5 linked regions of the Coturnix japonica genome follow. The protein of the gene in region 5 binds, or shares a complex with, the protein of the main gene of each other region. Links are inferred from orthologs where the notes say so. Each region holds a gene or a part of one and is shown on either strand. Other genes may lie near its edges.

Region 1 (4,526 bases), on a different chromosome or scaffold from region 5:
GCATCATCTGTTTAATGTACTGCCATGCTTTACAGTCAATGACAGTTGATTTATACCCTCTCATGTACTAGGATTGTCAAGCACAAAGTGAATAAAAAAATAGGGGTGTAGAAGATGGCTGCATATCACAATTTAGATTGATAGTTGTAGTTTTGGAATAAGTACTGTCATGCTGGCACAGGGTTTGGATAACCTGATTCTTAGCAGGTCTTTGCTGCACTGAGCACTGTGCGCTTGGTACCTGGTCTTTTACATTAAATAATTGTTCAGATATCTCTGCGTTCTGCTGCATGAACAATGTACTTCAGACCAATCAGAATAATGTAAGTCATTTCATTCAGAAGCAAGACAGTGTTTGTGATTGAGTCTGTGTCCTGTTTGACACCTGCTCAAAAGGCGAAGGAAGGCTGCTTCTTGTCTGAGAATATTAATACATCCATTCATAACACACATGACTATAAAGGGGCATTTTAAATCTTTGGCACTTTATTCACTCAGCACCACATAAGCAGCCTTTCAGAATGTACAGCCTAAGGACAGCATGAAGACTGTGGCCCAAATAATATCCCTTCAGATTGTAGTAAAGAACCGGTATAGGGTTAACTAGAACAGTCTTAGTCTTCCATTTGTCAGCAAGAAAATGTTTGAGCATTAATTCCATGTAACCTTTTTCTTTCCAAACACTTACCTCAGACACTCCACTCTCATCTACTTCCTCAACTGTGGGCAAATTAGGTGCTCCTGCTCTATCTGTAAGTTCAGCTATTGTCTTCTCATCTTCCTGTAGTGGAAATTCATTTTCAATTAGAAGTATTCCGTGTCATGAGCAATCGTCTACAGTGGATACTTTGAACATGCTTTGAAAATGTAGTTTAAGTATGAATGTAAAGACAATACTTCAGATGCTTGCTACACAAATGTGTTAGTGTGCAAATGGGGTCTTTGTGCATGTAAAGACTGTTTTTACAAAGGTTTCAGGGTTCTTTTTTGCTTCAGTTTATAAACGTGCATACTTCTGTTACATTTACAGTCATTCTTCTAGCTATGTGCTATCAATATCTCAACACAGTGCTCTAAAAATATCTCTATTCTGCTCCAAGTAAAGTTAGGAAATGTTTCACGTCTAAGTGTCAATGATCAATCTGTTTTACCAAAACAGCATCATATGACTATGTATTTATATGGAAGACCAAAAAATCAAGAGGCATCCCACCTCCAAGTGTTGGTTCCTTTTCCAGGTGTGGCAAATGGGCTTCACGTTGCCAGGCAGTAAAATGTAACTATCTAAGCATTCATGTTAGACACGTTCAAGTTCTAGTATTTTATTAATTAAAAAAAAATCTGAACTTAAGCTACATTTTATAATAACTTTATGCTCTGTTCTGAATAAAAGCTAAAGAAACCCAATAGAACAGATGAGAATTCAAGTCTAAAACCTAAGCTGGAAAGAAGCATTAAACGTTCTTCCCTAATGTTAGCTTTCTGTTTTGTTGTGTTCAAGGCTTCTGCCTTGTGTTCTGTATTTAGGGACTGGATCTGAATAAGAGAGATGATTAACAATATTTCTTTATCTTGACTAAGCTTTGGCTTAAACCTCTGGATCTTTCTGCTGCTCCTGCATGTTCTCTTCTTTATTCTGCTGTTCCATCTTCTCACGTTCTTGTTCCTATTGTAAAGAGAAGACAGCTGAAGATAGCGTATATGCTTTTGATACTCAGTTCCTCGTGCTCTTTAGTAGTTAATATTTATATCTCCTATACTTTGGATTAGGCTCTTTGAAGCTTTGCACAGCATCTATTATAGACAGACTAATCCATATAGATTCTATGGGAGGAAAAAATAGCTAAGATAGTTAACTGCAGAAGACAGTCTACTTATCCTAATCTAATTTTCTAACATATCTTTAGTTAGTTTCTCTTTAGCTTAGTCTCTTCATTTTTGGTAACATCTTGTCATGTAGCAGGTAAGTTTTTCTCCCCAGCTGCTCAGCTGTCCTTTCTAATTCCTTTCGAAATAATGATATTTTCAAAACGCAATGTTTAAGCACTTTTTGTTATCTTTTCCCTTTCAAGATCAGAATACAATTGTAGGTACTTTCCAACATTCTGATTCTCTTATGATTCTATGTTGATAATGACTACTATTGTAGTGAGAGCTACAAGTTGACCCAGCATCACACGCTACTATAATTATGAACAACTATTAACCTGCCGTTGTTCTTCAAGTTTCTGTTGTATCAGTAGCTCTTCTTCCTTCATTTTTCTTAACATTTCAAGTTCTTCCAGGGCTGCCTGCCGTTCTTTTTCCAGTTTGGCCCTTTCCAACGTTCTCTATTTCAGAGGTAACAAGAAATCAATGAAAAAAAAAGGAAACAAAACACAAAGAGAGATTATACAGCATCAGTTAGATTGACATGAAATGCTTTGCCCGAGGTAGACCCACCTTCTTTTCTTCTTCTAGTGTTTTCTTGTAGTTGTAGATCCAGTGTGCCAGGTACTCTATTGGGTCAGCGGGCCGACGCTCCACAACCTCCGCCAGACCCTTTTTCAAGCAGCTTCCCAGACATCTCCTCAGGTATTGAGACTCCATTCTCACCTACTGACAAACCGACAGATATTAGTCACCGATATCGGAATTCAGACAGCAGTTAGAGGAAGTGTTGACTGCATCACATCCCCAGTGTGATGTTGGTGGTTTTATCAAAGCTCATTTCATCAGGCAATTAATATGAGAAGGTGGTAGCGGTGCTGTCCCCCGTTCCCTACCGCTTCGCTCCTACCGGCCCGATCGCACAGCGCGTCCAACCGCGTTACCGGGCAACCGCGCTCCCGGCTGGATCCTGCGTCAGGCGGCCGGGCGGTGTCGCTGTCGTTGCGCTCTCGGCCCTTCCATCGCCGCCGCCATTTTGCGTCTGCTTCCGCCGGAAGGGCCGCACGCGATGGCGGGTGGGGGCGGCGTGCCGGCGGAGACCCGTGTGGGACAAGTGGTGCTGCCCGGCGATGTGCTGCTGCTGCCCGAGCACGGAGAGCCCGACCTCGACAAGCTGCCGCTGGGCACCAGCGCGGCCCCGCGGGGGAGGCTGCTGTGCGGGCCGGGGCTGCGGCGCTGTGCGGGCGGGCTGCTGGTCACCAAGTGCGGGCTGCTGCGGCACCGGCAGGCGGGCGGCGGAGCGGCGGCGGGCGGCGCCTACTGGGTGGACTCGCAGCAGAAGCGGGTACGGCGGCAGCGGGCGGCGGGGGGCGGTGATGTGCGGGACGAGCCCGCTGATCGCTTGTACCCGCTTGTAGTACGTGCCGGTGAAGGGAGACCACGTTATCGGCATCGTGACGGGCAAGGTGGGGGACGTGTTCCGGCTGGACGTCGGTGGTAGCGAGCAGGCCTCGCTGTCATACCTGGCCTTCGAGGGCGCGACCAAGAGGAACAGGCCCAACGTGCAGGTAACGCTGCCCGCCGGGAGCTTGCCTTTGTAAACGGTGTTTTTACCACTCGGACCATATAAACGAGGAACGTGACTTTTTTCACAGAGCTTTTGTCATGGCCTGTACGGGGTGTCCCGATGAGGCCGTGAGTTTTTTCTGTTTTCTCCGGAGCTTTTTGTGCTTCTTCACTTCTGACCTTACACCTTTCCCATCGGTTAACAGTGGCAGGTGCTACTCGTGCAGTAACGTGGGTCCCAAGGGGCCACCCTGAGGCTTTAAAGCATCCTCTGAACGCTGGTGCTGGTAGAGGAGGGTTTGCTTTGTAGCATTTACAAGTTGTTTTGTGATATGTGCGTTCACCAGAAACACTGTCAGCATGGTGTAAAATGGGCTGTGATTTTAAATGGAATAGACTGGTATGGCTTCTGGTGCGCCTTCTGAGTAAAGAATTGTTTCCTAACATGTAACCTTTATCTCCCCTCTGTTAATTCAAAGCCATTCCCCCTTGTCCTGTCACTACTAGGCTATATAAAAAGTCACTCCCTATAAGCACTGGAAGGCTTCGATGGGGTCTATCCAGAGCCTTTTCCAGGCTCAACAAGCCTAACTCTCTCAACTTTTCTTCACACAAGAGGCGCTCCGGCCCTCTTCTGACCCATTCCAATGGTCTTGTGTCAGGGGCCACAGGCTTGGACAGAGTACCCCAGGTGGGGCCTCACAATGGCAGAATAAAGGGGTCAGTTACCTCATTCACCCTTCTAGCTATCTTTCTTTGGATCCAGCCTGGGATCCCATTGGCCTTCTGAGCTGCAAGTGTACGCTGCTGGTTCTTGTCCAAGTGTTCATCCAGTTTACAACTGTTTTGTTGTCTCTTTATGGACTGAATGTTTCTTACAAATGTGCATTGTTATCTTCTCTAATGATTCTTTTTTTTTGTTGTTTTCTGGCACTGCTTGCTTTAGGTGGGAGACCTTGTTTATGGTCAGTTCCTTGTAGCAAATAAAGACATGGAACCAGAGATGGTCTGTATAGACAGCAGTGGAAGAGCAAGTGGAATGGGAGTAATTGGACAAGACGGCTTCCTCTTTAAAGTTTCCTTAGGTCTGA
Region 2 (4,279 bases), on a different chromosome or scaffold from region 5:
AGAAATCCTGATCTCCCTTTTATTTAAGAGAACAACAGAATCCTTCTGACTTCACCAAAACCAGGCTTACCTGTGAGGGTGAGTCAGCCTGGCTTTTATGCTGTTTGATGGTCCAAGCAATTCCTTCCAATATGAGACTGCCCGATGTCTGGCAAGAACCATAGCAAGTGAAGGTCCAGAGCTCATATAGGCTGCTAAATTAGGAAAAAACATTTTTCCATACTGGTCTGCATAAAAGATGCTACATTGCTCTGGGCTCAGCTGGAGCTTCCGTTTCTAAGAAAAGCGTAAAAGAGAAGAGAAAGAAAAAAGTTTACTAAATAGAGCTGGTTTGCTACCTCAGGTACCACACTGTTCTTTGGAGGCAGTCACATTTTCAAGTGCAAGCTGAAGAGGTACAGGGTAACTTCCCAGCTTAGTCTGATTCTCTCAGATTTGGTCCCCCTTGAGATACAAAGCAACAACAACAACAGAAACAACAAACAATGAAAAGAAAACAAAACAAAGAAGCAACCAACCAAGAGGTTTCTGTGTTATAATTAATACCCGCAGCATTAATTATACAATTGTTCTTTCTTTCATTCGGTGCTTTAGGATTTTCACTATAGCTATCCTGCCTGCAGGTAGCCAGAATTAGGCCAGGTGTAACAGGTTATCCAGCAGAGGGCACAGGGCAGCCTGGAGAGAAATTAACTTATTAAAAACTCCTTTCTTTGAGCCTGCTCTAATGTGATACAGAGTGCTGAGCATTCAGATTCCTATCAGCCTCAATGTCAAAAGTTAATGACTGTAAAGCTCTTCTCATTAAGAAAGAAAACAAAACACACACACGCACACACACAACTCTAATCTTCTGATGAATTTCCTATACTTAAAACAAACAGAAATGTAGAGGAAGAAATTAAAAAAGAACAAGTTCTTTTCAAACTCTTTTCAAACTTTTCAAGGCATTTACGAAAGATGACAGTTTTAGGGAAGCATATACATGTAATACTTGTATCTAGAAGCCTGGTTGCTGCTCAGCCAGTGCCCTCAAAGTTCGGTGCCGAAGGTGCTGCCTCCACACTACTAGGAGGGGGAGGAGGAGGAAGAGAAGAAAGCAAACACGATGAGGACGACAGCGGCACCCAGCGACCAACCCAACCCCACGGGGGGACATGGAAGAAGGCTTTTTGTTTTTGAGTTCATTTGTTAATGAACCCAGTTCATGAAGGAAGTATGGGGTTTCTTCTGTCAGCGAAGTCTGGTGGGTTCTCTTCCATGTCACACACCAACGAAATGTATCCTCGAGGAATCTGGGAGTTGTGGTTGATGACGTGAAAAATATAAACCGATTTTTGGGCAACAGAAGCTTTTAATTATTGAACTGACTGCTGAAAGTTAAGAAGACCATTGACGTGACCCACCAACTGCAGCTGTTATCTCAGGAACGCAGCTTTTTACCTGAACAATCAGGAATCCGGATCTGAGGATGAGATCCTCTATCTCTTCCTCCTTATCTACAACATCAGGTTTGATGAGAGCCAGTGTTTTTTCCACAAAAATCTGAGGTTCTGGCATGAGCCTCTCCATCTTTCTGCATTAGAACTTCTTAGCCCTACAACGACAGCAGTTGATGACAACGTTTATCTCCGAATAGTGTAAGTAACGTGGGATGGTTTCCTGAGACACGGTTCTCCCTGGGTTTTGGCCTCCGTGCCCGTGAGTCTCTGAAGACACGCAAACACACACGGAAAGCTCCCGGTCACCAACGGCTCCTCCGTGCCCGCCCCGTTGCCAGGTGCCGGCAGGGCAATGCGGGCAGCTGCCATTGGCCACAAGATGGCGGCCGTGCCCTGGCAGCGGGCGGCTGCGTGCGTGTGCGGGGGTGGAGCAGAAATGGCGGCCGGGAGCGGCGCTGCCTGAGCGGGGGGAGGCCGCACCCTCGGCAACCGCGCTTTCCGGATCTCATTTGCCTCTTTCCTGAGCTCTAGGTGTGATAAGAGCGTAAGGAAAGGAGTAAAATAGCTTGTTTTGGGGATCTGATGCGTTGTTAATCCTGTGACACAGCTTTCTGTCGGTTTTACTCCACGCTGAAAGCAATATCTCACAGCTGACGCTCATGAACAGAGGTTACGCTGTAGAACCGGTGTTTTGGAACAGAAACAAACTTTTCATTGCCAAAGCCCCCTGCAGGTTCTTTAAATCTCGCCGTGTGGCGGCAGCACGCACGGCACCTCCTGTTTATTTCCCGTCGGACCCGCAGCTCACAACAGAGCGGGCGCTGACCTCAATTCCCAACTCTAGAACACAGTTTCTCAGCACTTTGGATTGAAAGGCATTTTGTCCCCGGTGTTACCCGGTTTTAACACAGAAACAAGCAGCCCGCCGCCCCGCTGAGGCCTGCCAGCTGCTATCGGCTCAGCACAGCCCGGTGGCTGCGATAACGCCAGCACCAGCCCATGGACTCCTCACATTCAGGCCTCTTCCACTGCTGTGTGTTTGCCAGCAGTGATGGGATCCCGGGTGACATCTGTTTGTCACATCCAGCTGGAATTAATGTTCCATTTGAGCCCTTGGGGTGAGATGGACCAAGAGACAAGCACTCATGTCGGCTTCTTAAACAGAGAGAGCTCAACCAGCAGTCGGAGATACTGTAAATGCAGCAACTGCTCACAGATAAGGGAAAGACGTGTTTTGTGAGAAATAAATTCCTAGAAAGATCTGGGAGTTCATCTATTTTTCCTTTTAGTTCAGGGTTAATTCTCTTTGCAAACCAAACGCCTACAAGGCTGACAGGCTGACCCCAGGCTTAGCAGCTCAAAAGCCTCCCTCAGCCCCAGTGAATATTTCCGATTATTACTTAAAAAACGTTGAATTTAATATCCTCACAGAATACTGCTGACTTTAATCTCTCGCAGTTCCTTTAGCTGGGTGCATTTTGCTCTCAGTTAAAAAAGATAGGAAAAAAAAAATGCATCAATATCTGTCCGTGCATCCTTGTCTGCTGCAGCCTCCCCATGAGCAGTGTCCCGTGCACTCCCCATCCTTCTGTGTCACAATTTCTCCTCCTTGCTGTTTCCAGAAGCATTTCTGGAGGGTGGAGATCATCTAATTTTAGCAACTCAGAGAATCCTCTGCTCTCCAATGAGCGAGCTGCTGCATCTGAAGCTGCAGCCAATTACCCGGGGTTTCCTCCTGCTACACTTCCCACGACCGTTTAATAATGCAGAGTTGCACATTTAAAGGGACCCCGCGCATTAAGAGAAAATAACATCGTGTGTTCCCTAACAAAGAAGTAGCTTTACACGCTAAGAGTATCTCAAAGGTTTCTTCTAAATCCTTAAATTCCATAGACCCGACCTTTTAACCCCGTGTTGATACTGTTATTGTACGCATGGTATCTTTGTAGCGCTTTTAAAGCTACTTTAATGACTAAAAGGCTGGTTTGAAGCGTCCTCTCTAACTTCTGTAGCCCAGGGATGTTATTAAGAGCTAAGAAAAGAAACAAACAAAACCTGAAATTTTAATTACAATGCAACAAACCATTTTAAGTCCCGAATACTTCTCCGGGCACAGCTCTGCTGCTGTATCTGACCTGTTAAGCAGTTTAACAAGCCTTGGTTGTCTTATTTTGGGCTGGCATGGAATATAATAACACTATAATAACAAGATTGTGGCTGCAGATGCATTCTAGTAGCAAAGAAATGATGTTCTTAAGGAAAAGATACTGTTTTCAAACTTTGAACTCCAAAAAAATAGTAGTAATCATTGACTGGCTATTCATTTGCCACACAAACAACTTCTGTCCACCACTGACATCATTTTTATTTGCTTCTGTCTCCTACGATGAAGGCTGGGATACCCACACGCAGAACGTGCTGCAGCCGTGCTTGCTTTTGCAGTGCAAAGTGTCTTTGACGGAAATCCTGTGACCAAGCAAACTTCCGCTCCTGTGAGCCCGTTCCCTGCTCCATTTCTTACAGCTAACGACTCTGCTGCAGCTTGCCTACACGCCTGTAATCCGAGCTAACTTTATATTGCTTCTGACTAACACAATTCAAGCCTTCATTTCTGCTTTCATGTATTTGCTACCTCACTACTTTCTTTAAAGATCTTATTTCTACAAGGCTCTAAGTAATAACAAACTTCCTATCTACAGCATGCTCTGCTGACCTTCTTCTATTTTATTTCCTGATCCTCATGCCCACTCTTTCATATGTTCACAGCTTTTGCCACACACTCTCCCTGACCCCCCAGCACCTGCACAGATGCACTTCAGTCTCTTGTAATCAATCGG
Region 3 (4,486 bases), about 110 Mb from region 5:
ATCCCAGTAGTACTTGGGGTTCTGTCACCTTCTCTTTATTAGAGGGGAGGGTGGGGTTTTACTCCCGGTCCGGAGCTGCTGTTGGGTTCCAGCCCTCGTGGTCTCTTCCTCAATGATTCTGCTCTTGCCAAAGGGGAGCAGCCCAACAGCGGGGAGAGCTGCAGTGCAGAAGGAAGGGAGGAGAGCAGTGATGGGTGCAGCAGAACACAAGGGGAGCAGAGTTGGGCTGCGGGGAGCCCCGTTTGTACCTCACTCTCAGCACTGGCGGCCTCAGCGGGAGGAAAGCGGGGGGTGGCAGCAGCTCTTAGGGCAGCAGCGCTCTCTTCAGGAGCACCTTCTTGTTGGGGCTGAGACGTTTGGGGAAGCAGACGTTGAACTGGATGAGGAGGTCGCCCTTTTGGTGCGGGTCCTTCAGCAGCGGCATCCCTTCCCCAGGCACCACTTTGCAGTAGGTGGGGCTGCAAAGTGAGAGGGAGCTGAGGGTGGGAGCCCCCAACCTGCTCCCAAAGCTCTTGGAGCACCCAAGAAACCCAAGAGGAGCAGCTGGCAGCCCACAGAGGTTCCTCCCATAGCACCCATCTGCCTGCAGATCTGCACACTCACTGCACGATGTCATTGATGGGGATGTTCAGCAGCCGCCCATCCAGCGTCCTCACTTCCACTGTGCAGCCAATCAGTGCCTAAAGACACAGAGCAGGACCAAGAGCTGCAGATGCGGCCACACAGAGCCCCCCATCATTAACCATGGTGCCAAGGACAACTCCCATAGGGACCAAAGGGGCCGAGGCTCCGAACCCGGCGCTATCCTCCTTCTGCATGTTTTGCAGTTGCTGGCTGAAGGCAAAAGGCAGCTGGACGCCCCCTCCCTTTGCTCCTCACCTTTCCCAGGGGGATGTTGGCCACGTAAATGAGGTCGTCGTTGGATCTTTTAAACCTCGGGTGAGGTTTCTCTTGGATAACGAAGATGATGTCGGCTGGAATGATGTTTGGGCCCTAAAAAGGGGGATGGGGGTGGGAAAGGAGCTCTAGGAATGGTTTTATGGGCCCAGCCCACAACTTCAGGTCACAGAGGTTACCTGGTCTCCTTCCTTCTCAAATGTGATCCTGGTGCCTTGCTTCCACCCCGGCTGCACGTCGATGATCAGGATCTTGTCCCTGATGGTGCTTGTTTGGCCGTCTTCGTTCATCACCTGCAGGGTGGATGAGTTTGGGGGGATAAAGGGAAACCTCTGCTGTCAGAACAGCTCCAGGCCGGGCTGGATGCACCCTGGTGCAATGCAATCTGCTGGGGGGAAGGTGTAGCTCATCCTGCCTGGCACAAGGTCCCTCACTGTCCTTACCCGGCGGGAGATCTTCATCTTCTTGGTGCAGCCAAAGAAAAGGTCTTCGAGGGAGACATGGAGGTCCCACACCATCGGGGGGTCCTGCTTCATCACACCTCTTCCTCGCAGCCCTCCAAAGGGCAGCGTCGCCTCCACACCATCCTTGGTGAAGAACTCTGCATGGGGCAGCATGGAGGATACGGGGCTCCAAACCACATTCCCAGTGTGAATGAAAGAACAAAACTTGTAGCAGAGAGGAGATGGAGATGAGATGATGGTAATATTTCACTCAGAGGGTGGTAAGACCCCGGCACTGCCCAGAGCTGTGGGTGCCCCATCCCTGGAGGTGCCATAGGCCACAGATGGGCCCTGGGCAGCCTGAGCTGGGGGCACCCATAACAAGGGATGGGGCTGAGGGGGCTTTGAGGTCTGTTAGGAAGAAGTTCAGGGGCTGGTGATGAGCACAGCCCTAAAAGGGCACAGGCTGCCCCATGGATGGCAGCAGAGCAGCCACCCACCTGCAAAGGGGTTGTGTCCTCCAAAGAACTCCTTGAAGACTCTGTCGGGGTTGTTGTGGAAAACATAACCAGGAGTCCAGGCATCCTCACTGCCAGACTCCACAGGGACGCCGCCTTTGAGACCTTCTTCACCGAACCGATCGTAGATGCCTCTCCTTACAGCTATGGGGCAAGGAGAGACGGGGAACAGATATCTTACTGAGAAGGACGCGCTCAGAGCGGCCCTGAGGGGAAGGAGGTGGGAGTTGTGGTAGAGAAAAGCAGGACATGAGTAATCCCAGCACATAGGGCCAGCAGTGCTGCACCAATAGAGGGAAACAGGCAGGAAGGGAATGTCCCCTTCATGTGAAGCACTGCATTTAGACCTGGGGCCTCCAGCACAGGAGGGACGTGGGGCTGTGGGTCTATAGGAGGACATGGGAATGCTCAGAGGACGGAGCCAGGCTGAGGGGGATGTTCAGCCTGGATGAGGCCAGGCTGGATGTGGCTCTGGGCAGCCTGGGCTGCTGGTTGGTGACCCCACACACAGCAGGGGGCTGGAGCTGGATGAGCACTGTGGGCCTTTGTAACCCAGCCCCATTCTGTGACCCTATGGACTCATCCCCGCTGCTTACGGTCGCTCAGCACATCGTAGGCCTCCGCCAACAGCCTGAACCGCTCCTGCGCCTCCGGCTCCCTGCATTTCTGCGGGTGGTTCTCCAAGGCCAACAGCCGGTACCTGCGGGATGAGGAGCACAGCGAGGCCTACAGCCCCCGCTAGGCCCCATGCTGGGATTGAAGCGGCCATTCGCCCCCAACCCGCCCCCAACCCACGTCTATCCACCCCCCCTCACGCCTTCTTAATGTCGGCGTCCGTGGCCTGGCGGCCCAGCTCCAGCACGGCGTAGTAATCCTGCCCCATGGCGGCCTCCTCGCTATGGTTACGCAAACAGAGGATGGGTTACCAAGGCAACGCCTGTAGGCCGCACTTCCGGCTCTCTGATATATTTCCGTTTCCGTTAGCGCGGAGCACGATGGGAGTTGTAGTTCTTTCAGCGCCACCCACCGCCATTTTGTACCAAACAACCCACTCGGAGCTTTAAGATTAACACCGACTTTTCCTCCACACAAACTCTATGAAAGCGGCTTTATTTCAGCCCACAGCCTCGATTTAACACCCAAATCCACCTCACAGCAGATAAAAAGGGGCTGGAAGGGGCAGAAATGAGCAGAAACAGCCATAACATCAGCCCCATCCCTCCCTCATAGACCCCATAGACCCCATAACACACACAGCCATGTTGCTCACAGACCCCATAACACACACAGCCATGTTGCTCACATCCCCTATAACACACACAGCCATGTTGATCATAGACCCCCCATTAACCCCTACAGGTCTCCCAGCTGGTACCGCCGCACCACGCCGTCCCTGCAGCACGTGTAGATCTGCTTCTCCCACTGAGCGACCTGAAACAAGGAGGGGGGGGGGAAATAATGCAATAAGCCAACAAAGCTGGGTGGGAGAACACAATGAGGTTCAATAAGGCCAAGTGCAACTGTGTGCTGGGCTGCATTTAAAGGGGTGGCCAGCAGGGACAGGGGGGTGATTGTCCCCCTCTACTTGGCTCTTGTGAGGCCCCATCTGCAGTGCTGCATCCAGGCCTGGGGCCTCCAGCACAGGAAGGACGTGGAGCTCTTGAGTGGGTCCAAAGGAGACCACTAAGATGGCCAGAGGGCTGGAGCAGCTCTGCTATGAGGAAAGGTTGAGGGAACTGGGCTGGTTTAGCTTGGAGAGGATAAGGCTGCGGGGAGACCTCATTGTGGGCATCCAGTACTTGAAGGGAGCGAATAAACAGGAGGGGGAACAGCTGTTTGTGAGGGTGGGCAGTGATAGGACAAGGGGGAATGGTTTGAAAGTGAGACGGGAGGTTTAGGTTGGATCTTAGGAGGGTTTTACACCCAGAGGGTGGTGACGCACTGGAACAGGTTGCCCAAGGAGGCTGTGGATGCCCCATCCCTGCAGGCATTCAAGGCCAGGCTGGATGTGGCTCTGGGCAGCCTGGGCTGCTGGTTGGTGACCCTGCACATAGCAGGGGGTTGGAGCTGGATGAGCACTGTGGGCCTTACCTTGTACACAGGGTCACAATCTGCCTCTGTGAGGTCGATGACATAATCGAGGTCTTGCTGAATGATAAAGCACGTTCCATCACCTACGCAAGCAGAAGGAACACCAAGGAAGGAAAGAATATTGGGTGATGAGTAAAAACAGGCCACGTTCTTTCTATAAACAGCACTATGAGCCCAGCAGAAATGCCCAAGAAAAGGGAGACATGTGATGAGAAAAGGCTCTAATGACTGAGAAGCTCCTTGCAGGCCATGATATGGGGGAGCACAAGAAAAATCACAAGGCAAAAAGCAACTACGTAATAGGATGTTCCACTACATCAACTTTTTGCAATGGACACTCTGTGAAACCCTCTCCTAGTGGCTCGGACATCCTGTGTTTGTATGTAAGAGAGGGCATAAGGAGCAAAGAACTGCTCAGCTCAAGTCTATGATCTGCACACAGCACTTGAGTTACCTTGGCTGGCAATGAATCCATCTCTGTATGGGAGCAGAGAAAGCACTGGTGCTCCTGATCTGTGAATGATTTGGATTGGAGCA
Region 4 (3,710 bases), on a different chromosome or scaffold from region 5:
AAGGCCTTTACCTTCAGCTGCAGCTTGCAGCTTACCAAAGGTTGTGCTTAAAGAAATTTAGGATCAACGTCAAGCTGACAACGGTGGTGACAGACATCCTGAAGAGCTCTGCTAATGTAGAGATGGAACATATAAACAGGAAGGGGAATGGCTGTTTATGAGGGTGGACAGTGATAGGACAAGGGGGAATGGTTTTAAACTGAGAGAGGGGAGGTTTAGTTGAGATATTAGGAGGAAGTTTTTCACACAGGGGTGGTGACACACTGGAACAGGTTGCCCAAGGAGGTTGTGGATGCCCCATCCCTGGAGGCATTCAAGGCCAGGCTGGATGTGGCTCTGGGCAGCCTGGTCTGGTAGCTGGTGACCCTGCATATAGCAGGGGGCTGAAACCAGATGATCATTGTGGTCCTTTTCAACCCAGGCCATTCTATGATGATGATGATGAGGAGAAATCCAAATTAGAGATTGAACTAGATGAAACTATTGTCATTAATCTAGTTGATTTTTTTTTTTACTGTCTTGGCTACAGGGTTCTTCATGGTCTTTGAGCAGTGCTTGGCAAAACTATATGTTTTATAGAGTTTGTTTATGCAGACAAGGCAGTCAAAAGACAAGCTGTGCTTTTTAAGAGTTAAAAACAGGAAGAAAATTGTTACTTTACTTAAGAAATGGACTGGTTAAGTTGCATCCATCCAGTCTTCTCTAAATTTAGTTTTCTATTTATAAAGTCTAGGTAGAAAGATTCATGAAATACATTTGATTCAGTATAAACAAATCAGTGAAAGTACCACTCCCAAGCTGTGAGCATCAATATTTCAGAGGTGAAAAAAAACAACATAACTACATATTCAGTTCACTCTGATAAAGGACAATTTCAAGAATGAAATATAAAGGGAAAGGTGTGCTGGAGTAGAGGTTCTTTGTGTATTGTACTGACTTCTTCATTTTTTCCACCTCCGTCTGCTGCTGAAGAGTTGACTTGATCAGAACTATGATGAGGACTGGCTCTGGAAGTTTCTGAGCAGTACCATGCCATTTTGTCGGTCACTGGAAAGGAACAGGAACCAAATGTCTTAGAACAACACTTCAAGGTGATAAACTGTAGTATGTGGGGTAAGATACAGTTGAGGGTTACATTAATTGAGAGTTCTGTTATTAAAAAATGATTCTAATTAGAAATCATTCTGGTAATTGATGAGAAAGAAAATTGTTCATTTCTGTGCTTGTGCGTTCCTAATGTGATATGAAAACCAAAACGGGATGAAGTCAGGTGGGAGTATGAGTAGGCTTTGTCTTTTATATCCACTGGAGGCAACCAACACAAAGAGCATTCCAAGAACAACAGTTTACCATATTTATCTCATACTATGACAACTGGAGAGCTGAACTGTTTAAGAAGAAACTACATATTCCCCCACATAATTTTCAGGCAGAGCTAACATGGGGAGAAACACAACAGAAAGTTCACAGGCTTCAAGTGTGAGCTCCCAGTTTCTCTCCTATTTACGATCCTTGTCCCAAGAGCAGCCCGTAAGATGCTGATAGCTCCACTACCAGTAGTGCACAGATGATACAAAGCTGTATATAATTGCTTCCTAAGGGGAAAGCTACATCACTAGATAGTGAATTTAACATTTCAGAGATGGCTAAATAACAGTTTATCATTTCACAGTTCAAAGCCCCAAGGTTTTCCACTTACAGGAAATAACTATGTACGCTTTTGATATAACCTGAGTCAACCTTTACTCCTATCATGGATGCACCCCAAGCAAAGACAGATGACTCATCTAAAATTAGAGGTCTGTGGAGAATCCAGAGATAACATGTAACTTAAAATTGATGCCTGAACTTTTACTTACGCGTCTTCTTTAATCTTTTGGAGGAAAGATTTGATTTCCTCAGATGGTATGTCTCCATCGATACTAGCCAAATAGCAGTAAAGGAATGAGAACATTTCATAGGGAATACGAGCTGCTCCACCTTCTGGGTCCTCTGTTAAAATTTCGCAGGCATATTTCATTGAACTCAGCAAGGACTGGAAGGGGTTCAAGGAAGGAATGAGAACAGTATCAGAGCCGTTAACATCTTTTGTATATCATGACAAAATGCAGACTGCAAGCCACAGAAAATGAGTGAAAATGAAATGAAGGCTTTATCATTATTACCTAGCTCTCAGTATCAAATTTCTAGCTGTATGAGGAGGCTGAGGAAGCTGGAATTGTTCATTCTGGAGAAGAGGAAGCTCAAGCGGTGAGCCTAATGCTATATAACTACCTATAACTACCTGAAAGACCTGGGATTGTTCAGTCTGGAGAAGATGCTCAGGGGAGACCTTATGTCTCCCAACAAATCCCTGAAAAGAGGTTGTGGTGAGGTGGAAATCAGCCTCTTCTCCCATATAACTAGTGACAGGACTAGAGGGAATGGCCTCAGGTTGCACAAGGGGAGATAACAGGTTGGACATTAGGAAAAGTTTTCTTCTCAGAGAGTGGGCAGGCACTGGAATGGGCTGCCCAGGAAGGTGGTGGAGTCACCATCCCTGGAGGTGTTCAAGGAATGCTTAGATGTTGTACTGAGGGACATGGTTTAGCGGGAAATACTGGTGGTAGGTGGGTAGGTGCACGGTTGCACTGGATGATCTTAGAGGTCTTTTCCAGTCTTGGTGATTCTATGATTTATCAAACAGTGCAGGTTGTGAAAGCAAAACAATAATAAAGTTCAAGTAATAAACGGGAGTAAAAAAAAAAACCACAACTTTGTAATGTTGAAAGATTGCACCAAGTTGTCTGAGCTGTATCCAAAACGCTCAACAGCTCAAACCTCGCTATCTGTCTACGTGTATATATGAGCTCATGGGTCTAAATGGGTTTGCAGTGACAGTTAAGATTGATAGACAAATCTAAAACAAACAAACAAAAAAATGCAACAGTTCCATGTTAAATCTTAGGAATTATAATATTTACTATTTTCCCTCTTTGTATGCAAGCTCCACTTTAATAGTGGAAAAAACCCTGAAGCAAAAAGAATCCAAAAAGCGTCCAAGTTCTCTGTTGAACAAAAACATGCCTCTAAGTGTTAGCTCAAAGCATGCTTTGAAAAAATGCTTTATTCCACGTGGTGCCTGTAATCCAGTACCCTATCCATCCCAGGCTATTAAGGGACATGTGGAAAAATCAGGCATGAAATTTGATTGAATCAAAGGCTGGTTGGATACTATTAAAAACTTACTTTCCTCAAGCCCCACAAAGAAGAAAGCAAAAAAAAACCCAAAAACACACAAAGAAAAAGACTTTTGTTAACCCAAGAAGTCATATTTTTGTTAGAATTTCTTCAAAATTTATCTTAACTTCTTCATCAATAGGCAAGCAATGACTTTACAAATATATATTCAGGAATGTAAACTAAAATTGGAAGAAAAGAATGTAACAATTTGTAAGCCTTTCTGGTTTAAGCTGAAGTTCAGGTTTTCATCGTGCAGAGATAAAATCAAATCATTTTAATATCTGAAAGGATGGATAAAGGAAGTAAATTCAGGTTGTTCAGCTCCATCAGAACAAGGCTCCTGGGACTGCTTTTTTGTTTCGGTTGTTTTCTTTTCTTGTCATCTGGTGGTTTTTGTTCTGTTTTGTTTTTAAGTAACATTGCTGTTGTTACTACTACTACTTTTTTTTTAAGTGAAGGAAAGTAAAAGAAATCACCAAATCCATTTC
Region 5 (3,900 bases):
AACTCTCCCCTTTCCCCAGCCTCGTATCTGAACTGATGCTCGCCGGGGATGGGGAAGGAGGGAGTACCTGAAATTAAAATAGGAAAGAGAAGTGAGAAGGGTGGGGGTGAGGAGAAACGGGTGGGAGGAGCAGGTGGAGGAAGTGAGAGGAGTTTAATCGCTAATTCCGCTCACTACGGTCCTTTCCTACAGGGACACAAGTGCGTGTAGGGTTTGGAGGGCACGGAGCGGGGAGCAGAGGCACGCATGCAGTGAGGGGAGGGGGCGGCTGGCAACGGGGGGGGGGGGGGGGACACTTACCTTCCTAAAGCAGGGGTGAACGAGAGACTGAGAAAGTGCTGGTAGAGAGGAGAGAGGACGGAGCTGAGAAGGGATGCAGGACCTCAAGGGGAGATGATGTGTCCTCTAAGCCAACGGCGGCGGCGGCAGCAGCAGGATGGAGACGCCCCTGATAGGGCCGGGACAACAGCATGTGACCCAAAGCTGCGATTAGTCAGGATTTAGCAAAGCTTTGCAAACAGCACGTAGAGGATGGAGAGAGAAAGAGAGAGAGACAGACAGGGGACGGACACAGACAGATGAGGGCGAGAGAGATAGGGAATAGGAGTGGGTGGGCAGGATAAACAATTGCAGACACTCTAGGCTCATTACAGATTTTTATCCAAATAAGAAAATCACGTAGAATTTCTGCGAGCCATAAATCAAAGCACAACGTTTGTAACCCCCCTTTTCCCCTCTTGGGACTACTTGGAGTATGTACGTGCAGAGACTGTAAAAACACTGCGGTAACTGAAGGCAGCAGCCAGGACACTCCTCTCTTCTTCAGGCAAAATGAGGTGAACCTCGTATCTGTAGCTTTGCTCTATGGATAGATGCATCCCCACATCTTCACAGGGAACAGGGATTTGAACTGGTGGTCACTTGGTCACATCACCCTGGAGAAGTACCTCCATTTCCTGAAGAAGGAAAGAGGGAGAACTGAAATGACTCCATGCCTGGCTTCTTTTCCTCTTTCACCCCTCACTTGTGCTGCTGGGACCAGGGATGGCCATCAGGCTGTGAAGCCTGTTTTCTGTTGCAGGCTGCTCTGCCCTTGGGACTGACCTCCCTCAGCTATTTCATCATGCAACCCAAAGGAGGAGGGGCTGAACAGCACATCTGATCTTATGTCTTTCACATCCTCGTTCATACCTTTTCTTCTTCCTGCCTTTTCTAACAGATTCCATTCGCCTCTGTACGCTAATTTTGCTCAACTGGTTCCTTGTCGAGACGCTTCAGGTTTGGCAGCTGGTCCAGAACCTCCTGCTGGTAGTTTGAATCGTCAGCGCATGGATTGTCCATCAGCACCAGGACCTGCAGCATGGGGAGCACCTGCAGTTTTGCCACTTCCTGCAAGCTACTGATCGCATTGTTCCTAAAGAAAAGCCAGCACAATGTGCAGGAGAAAGATCCGTATAAGTCATAACAATAAGGATTTCTTTGTGTTCGGTGCATTGAAATGTCTGACAATGCCAACCCCCTGTACAGCAAGTGCTTGGAAGAAAAGGACACTGGTGGTCATGGCCAGGACATGGAGGAGAAGCAGAGGGGGATGGAACAAAGAGTAACAGCAAGATTTTAAAGGTATGGTGTAGGGTCTGAGAGCAACTGGAGGGGCAGATCTTTACTGAGAGGTGGGAAACTGGTAGAAAACTGAGCCCTGAACACCAGTCAAAAGCAATAAAGATGAACCCAACCTGTACCCATCAGGTCTCCAGCTTCTAGAGAAAGCAGAAAATCCTAAAGATAGGAGTACAGCCTGATTAACTGCTGTTTAGTCCTGACACAAAGCAGGGAGGACCCACCGTAGATTGAGGTACTGCAGGCACTTCATGCTGCTAGAGAATCCATCCAGGGTCCCAAGCTCATTATCACGCAGGTGCAGGGTTGATAGCTGCTCTAGTGCCTCAAGGCCTTCAAGGCTCTTAATGGTATTCTGGGCCTAAGCAGGGATGTAGGAAGTGAGAATTAAAACAAAAAGGCAGACATGGCAAAGGAAATAGTTATTTCTGGCCTGTTAAGCTCTTTCTACTCTTCAGACTTCCTAGCACTGCCAAGCAACCTCTGAAGCAGGACATCATACATACACAACAACACAGGGAGCCTTCCTGGCAGTGACACATAGTATGGCCAGAAGCCAAACCAGGAATTCTACTGGAATTTTAGAGATAGAGAACAAAATACCTTGAGAACATGTCTGCAGCTCTCACTTGTACCTGATCAGGATGCTGGTTACACTCACAAAGAGTCAGATGGGAAAGGACCTTTGGAAGTCTCCATGCAGCACCATGCTTACAACCAGGCTAACTCCAAGAGTCCAGTGAACTTCCAGTTTAGCTCCTTCTTTTATGGGAGAAATCTACTATCAAAATGCATACGACCAGAAGCGGGCTGCATGATCCTGACAGAGGTTTCAGAAAAGCAGGGCCTGACATCTGGTTTAAGTGCTTCTTAGCACCACATCTTTCAACCCAGAGATAAGCAGAACATCACTTGTGATTGTGGCTTAGGGTTGTAGTCCCTAAGGATGCAGATACCCGAACAGGACACAGGGAGGGAGGCTCCTATCCTAGTTTCAACCGAGATAGTGCTAATGTTCTCCATAGTAGCTATCACTGTGGCATGTTTTGTATTGAGGATGAGGATGATGTTGTTGTTACCCAAGCAGTGATGTAGTCAATGCCCAAATCTAACAGAAGGGGAACAGCCTCAGCTGGTAGGATAGGAGAGGAGGAAATCAGGAGCTGATGACGGAATCAGGGTGGGGAGCTCACAGACCACTAGTGTGTGAAATGAATAGCAACCTACTATCACTCCCACTTGCTCCACTACACCAGCGCAAACAGTTTGAAAGGCTCCAGCCATGCAAGCTATCGTTTCTTAGTGGAAGCTAATACAATACGTTGCCCATGCTGCAGCTAGCCTTTGTCAGCAGTACTGCACAATGAAGTAACACAGACTTACCCTTCGCACAGCACTGAACCTAAAATGGATGCTGACTGAGGCACCACGTGGTTCACAATCAGCCTTTAGTTTTCCTGCCGGTGGGCAGAACTTTGTGAATGCTGAAACTATGTCATATATTAACCAAATTTGATTCAGTTACTTTAAGCTGACCTTTGAATTCCTATTTGATGGGTGCGCTGAACCCTGCCCTTGCAACATCGGCTTTATCTACCTATGGACCATGTAACACCAACATGTTTCTACAGAGAGCAAAGCAGTACCGGGAGGTATCCCCCCTCCAGAATGATTTGATAAGCAGGTGAACGTGGGAAACAAATTCAAGCCCACAACATTCCAATCAGTTGTTGTAGTTTTAATAATCTCATCCTACAGTTTGCCTGCTTCAGATGTGTGGCTCAGGAATTCTGTCTCCCTCTTTAAATACAAGTGTTACTGTTGTTTAACTCCTGCTAACATGACTTGTTTTAATCAGAATTTCTATACTGTACCTAGTGACTTAGCCACTTCATCCCTCCTTCCAGCACCCATAGTTCTAAGACTTCAGCTTTACATCAGAGAACAGCAGACAAACTCAGCTAACAGTCTCCACTGTGCTTTCTGCCAGGGAGTACTGATGAAAAGAAACCCTGTAGCTTTTCAAAACCTTTTATCATCTCTAATTGCTTTTGCACAGGTAATGACTTGGGACCACCATCAAGTCTTTGCAAGCCATAGTACTGTGTGATTCATAGGAGTAAGCCAACATATTTTCTTCATTTATGTCTCAAGCAGTAAGTGTTCCCTAAAGCAACTGTTTACAGGAGAAGAAAATTGCTGCTTCTTAGTTTCAATGAGATATTGAATCAGTTTCTTTTTTGGCAGCCCAAGATGTGAACCATATCTCTGTGCTGCTAT

Evidence for each region.
Region 1: LRRC23 (region 5) and DYDC1 share a complex: the UniProt entries of both Homo sapiens proteins name them as parts of the axonemal radial spoke complex. The link is inferred for Coturnix japonica from reciprocal best matches to the Homo sapiens genes LRRC23 and DYDC1.
Region 2: LRRC23 (region 5) and NME5 share a complex: the UniProt entries of both Homo sapiens proteins name them as parts of the axonemal radial spoke complex. The link is inferred for Coturnix japonica from reciprocal best matches to the Homo sapiens genes LRRC23 and NME5.
Region 3: LRRC23 (region 5) and DNAJB13 share a complex: the UniProt entries of both Homo sapiens proteins name them as parts of the axonemal radial spoke complex. The link is inferred for Coturnix japonica from reciprocal best matches to the Homo sapiens genes LRRC23 and DNAJB13.
Region 4: LRRC23 (region 5) and ROPN1L share a complex: the UniProt entries of both Homo sapiens proteins name them as parts of the axonemal radial spoke complex. The link is inferred for Coturnix japonica from reciprocal best matches to the Homo sapiens genes LRRC23 and ROPN1L.

What each region holds. Positions count from the first base shown.
Region 1 is NC_029521.1:3,510,871-3,515,396, reverse strand, and holds the start of DYDC1 (DPY30 domain-containing protein 1), read right to left. Parts: upstream 2,896-4,526; 5' UTR 2,814-2,895; exon of another isoform or gene 2,766-2,813; intron 2,599-2,765; exon of another isoform or gene 2,596-2,598; 5' UTR 2,590-2,595; coding exon 2,443-2,589; intron 2,331-2,442; coding exon 2,208-2,330; intron 1,667-2,207; coding exon 1,595-1,666; intron 782-1,594; coding exon 491-781; 3' UTR 1-490. Other genes in the region: EXOSC3 (exosome complex component RRP40), read left to right, coding at 2,939-3,214, 3,288-3,437, 4,382-4,526. UniProt on the Homo sapiens protein: Functions as part of axonemal radial spoke complexes that play an important part in the motility of sperm and cilia. Plays a crucial role during acrosome biogenesis.
Region 2 is NC_029528.1:3,795,281-3,799,559, forward strand, and holds the start of NME5 (nucleoside diphosphate kinase homolog 5), read right to left. Parts: upstream 3,048-4,279; 5' UTR 1,573-3,047; coding exon 1,444-1,572; intron 277-1,443; coding exon 71-276; intron 1-70. UniProt on the Homo sapiens protein: Functions as part of axonemal radial spoke complexes that play an important part in the motility of sperm and cilia. Does not seem to have nucleoside diphosphate kinase (NDPK) activity.
Region 3 is NC_029516.1:175,177,494-175,181,979, reverse strand, and holds DNAJB13 (dnaJ homolog subfamily B member 13), read right to left. Parts: upstream 2,851-4,486; 5' UTR 2,742-2,850; coding exon 2,674-2,741; intron 2,559-2,673; coding exon 2,455-2,558; intron 2,003-2,454; coding exon 1,841-2,002; intron 1,499-1,840; coding exon 1,341-1,498; intron 1,191-1,340; coding exon 1,077-1,190; intron 994-1,076; coding exon 880-993; intron 681-879; coding exon 604-680; intron 459-603; coding exon 305-458; 3' UTR 249-304; intron 164-248; exon of another isoform or gene 159-163; 3' UTR 5-158; downstream 1-4. Other genes in the region: PAAF1 (proteasomal ATPase-associated factor 1), read right to left, coding at 3,212-3,289, 3,950-4,032, 4,404-4,486. UniProt on the Homo sapiens protein: Functions as part of axonemal radial spoke complexes that play an important part in the motility of sperm and cilia.
Region 4 is NC_029517.1:52,312,376-52,316,085, reverse strand, and holds the end of ROPN1L (ropporin-1-like protein), read right to left. Parts: intron 2,036-3,710; coding exon 1,860-2,035; intron 1,048-1,859; coding exon 990-1,047; 3' UTR 692-989; downstream 1-691. UniProt on the Homo sapiens protein: Functions as part of axonemal radial spoke complexes that play an important part in the motility of sperm and cilia. Important for male fertility.
Region 5 is NC_029516.1:69,562,935-69,566,834, reverse strand, and holds the end of LRRC23 (leucine-rich repeat-containing protein 23), read right to left. Parts: intron 1,982-3,900; coding exon 1,845-1,981; intron 1,415-1,844; coding exon 1,240-1,414; 3' UTR 1,192-1,239; intron 957-1,191; 3' UTR 640-956; downstream 1-639. UniProt on the Homo sapiens protein: Essential for sperm motility and male fertility. Plays an important role in the proper assembly of the third radial spoke (RS3) head and the bridge structure between RS2 and RS3 in the sperm flagella.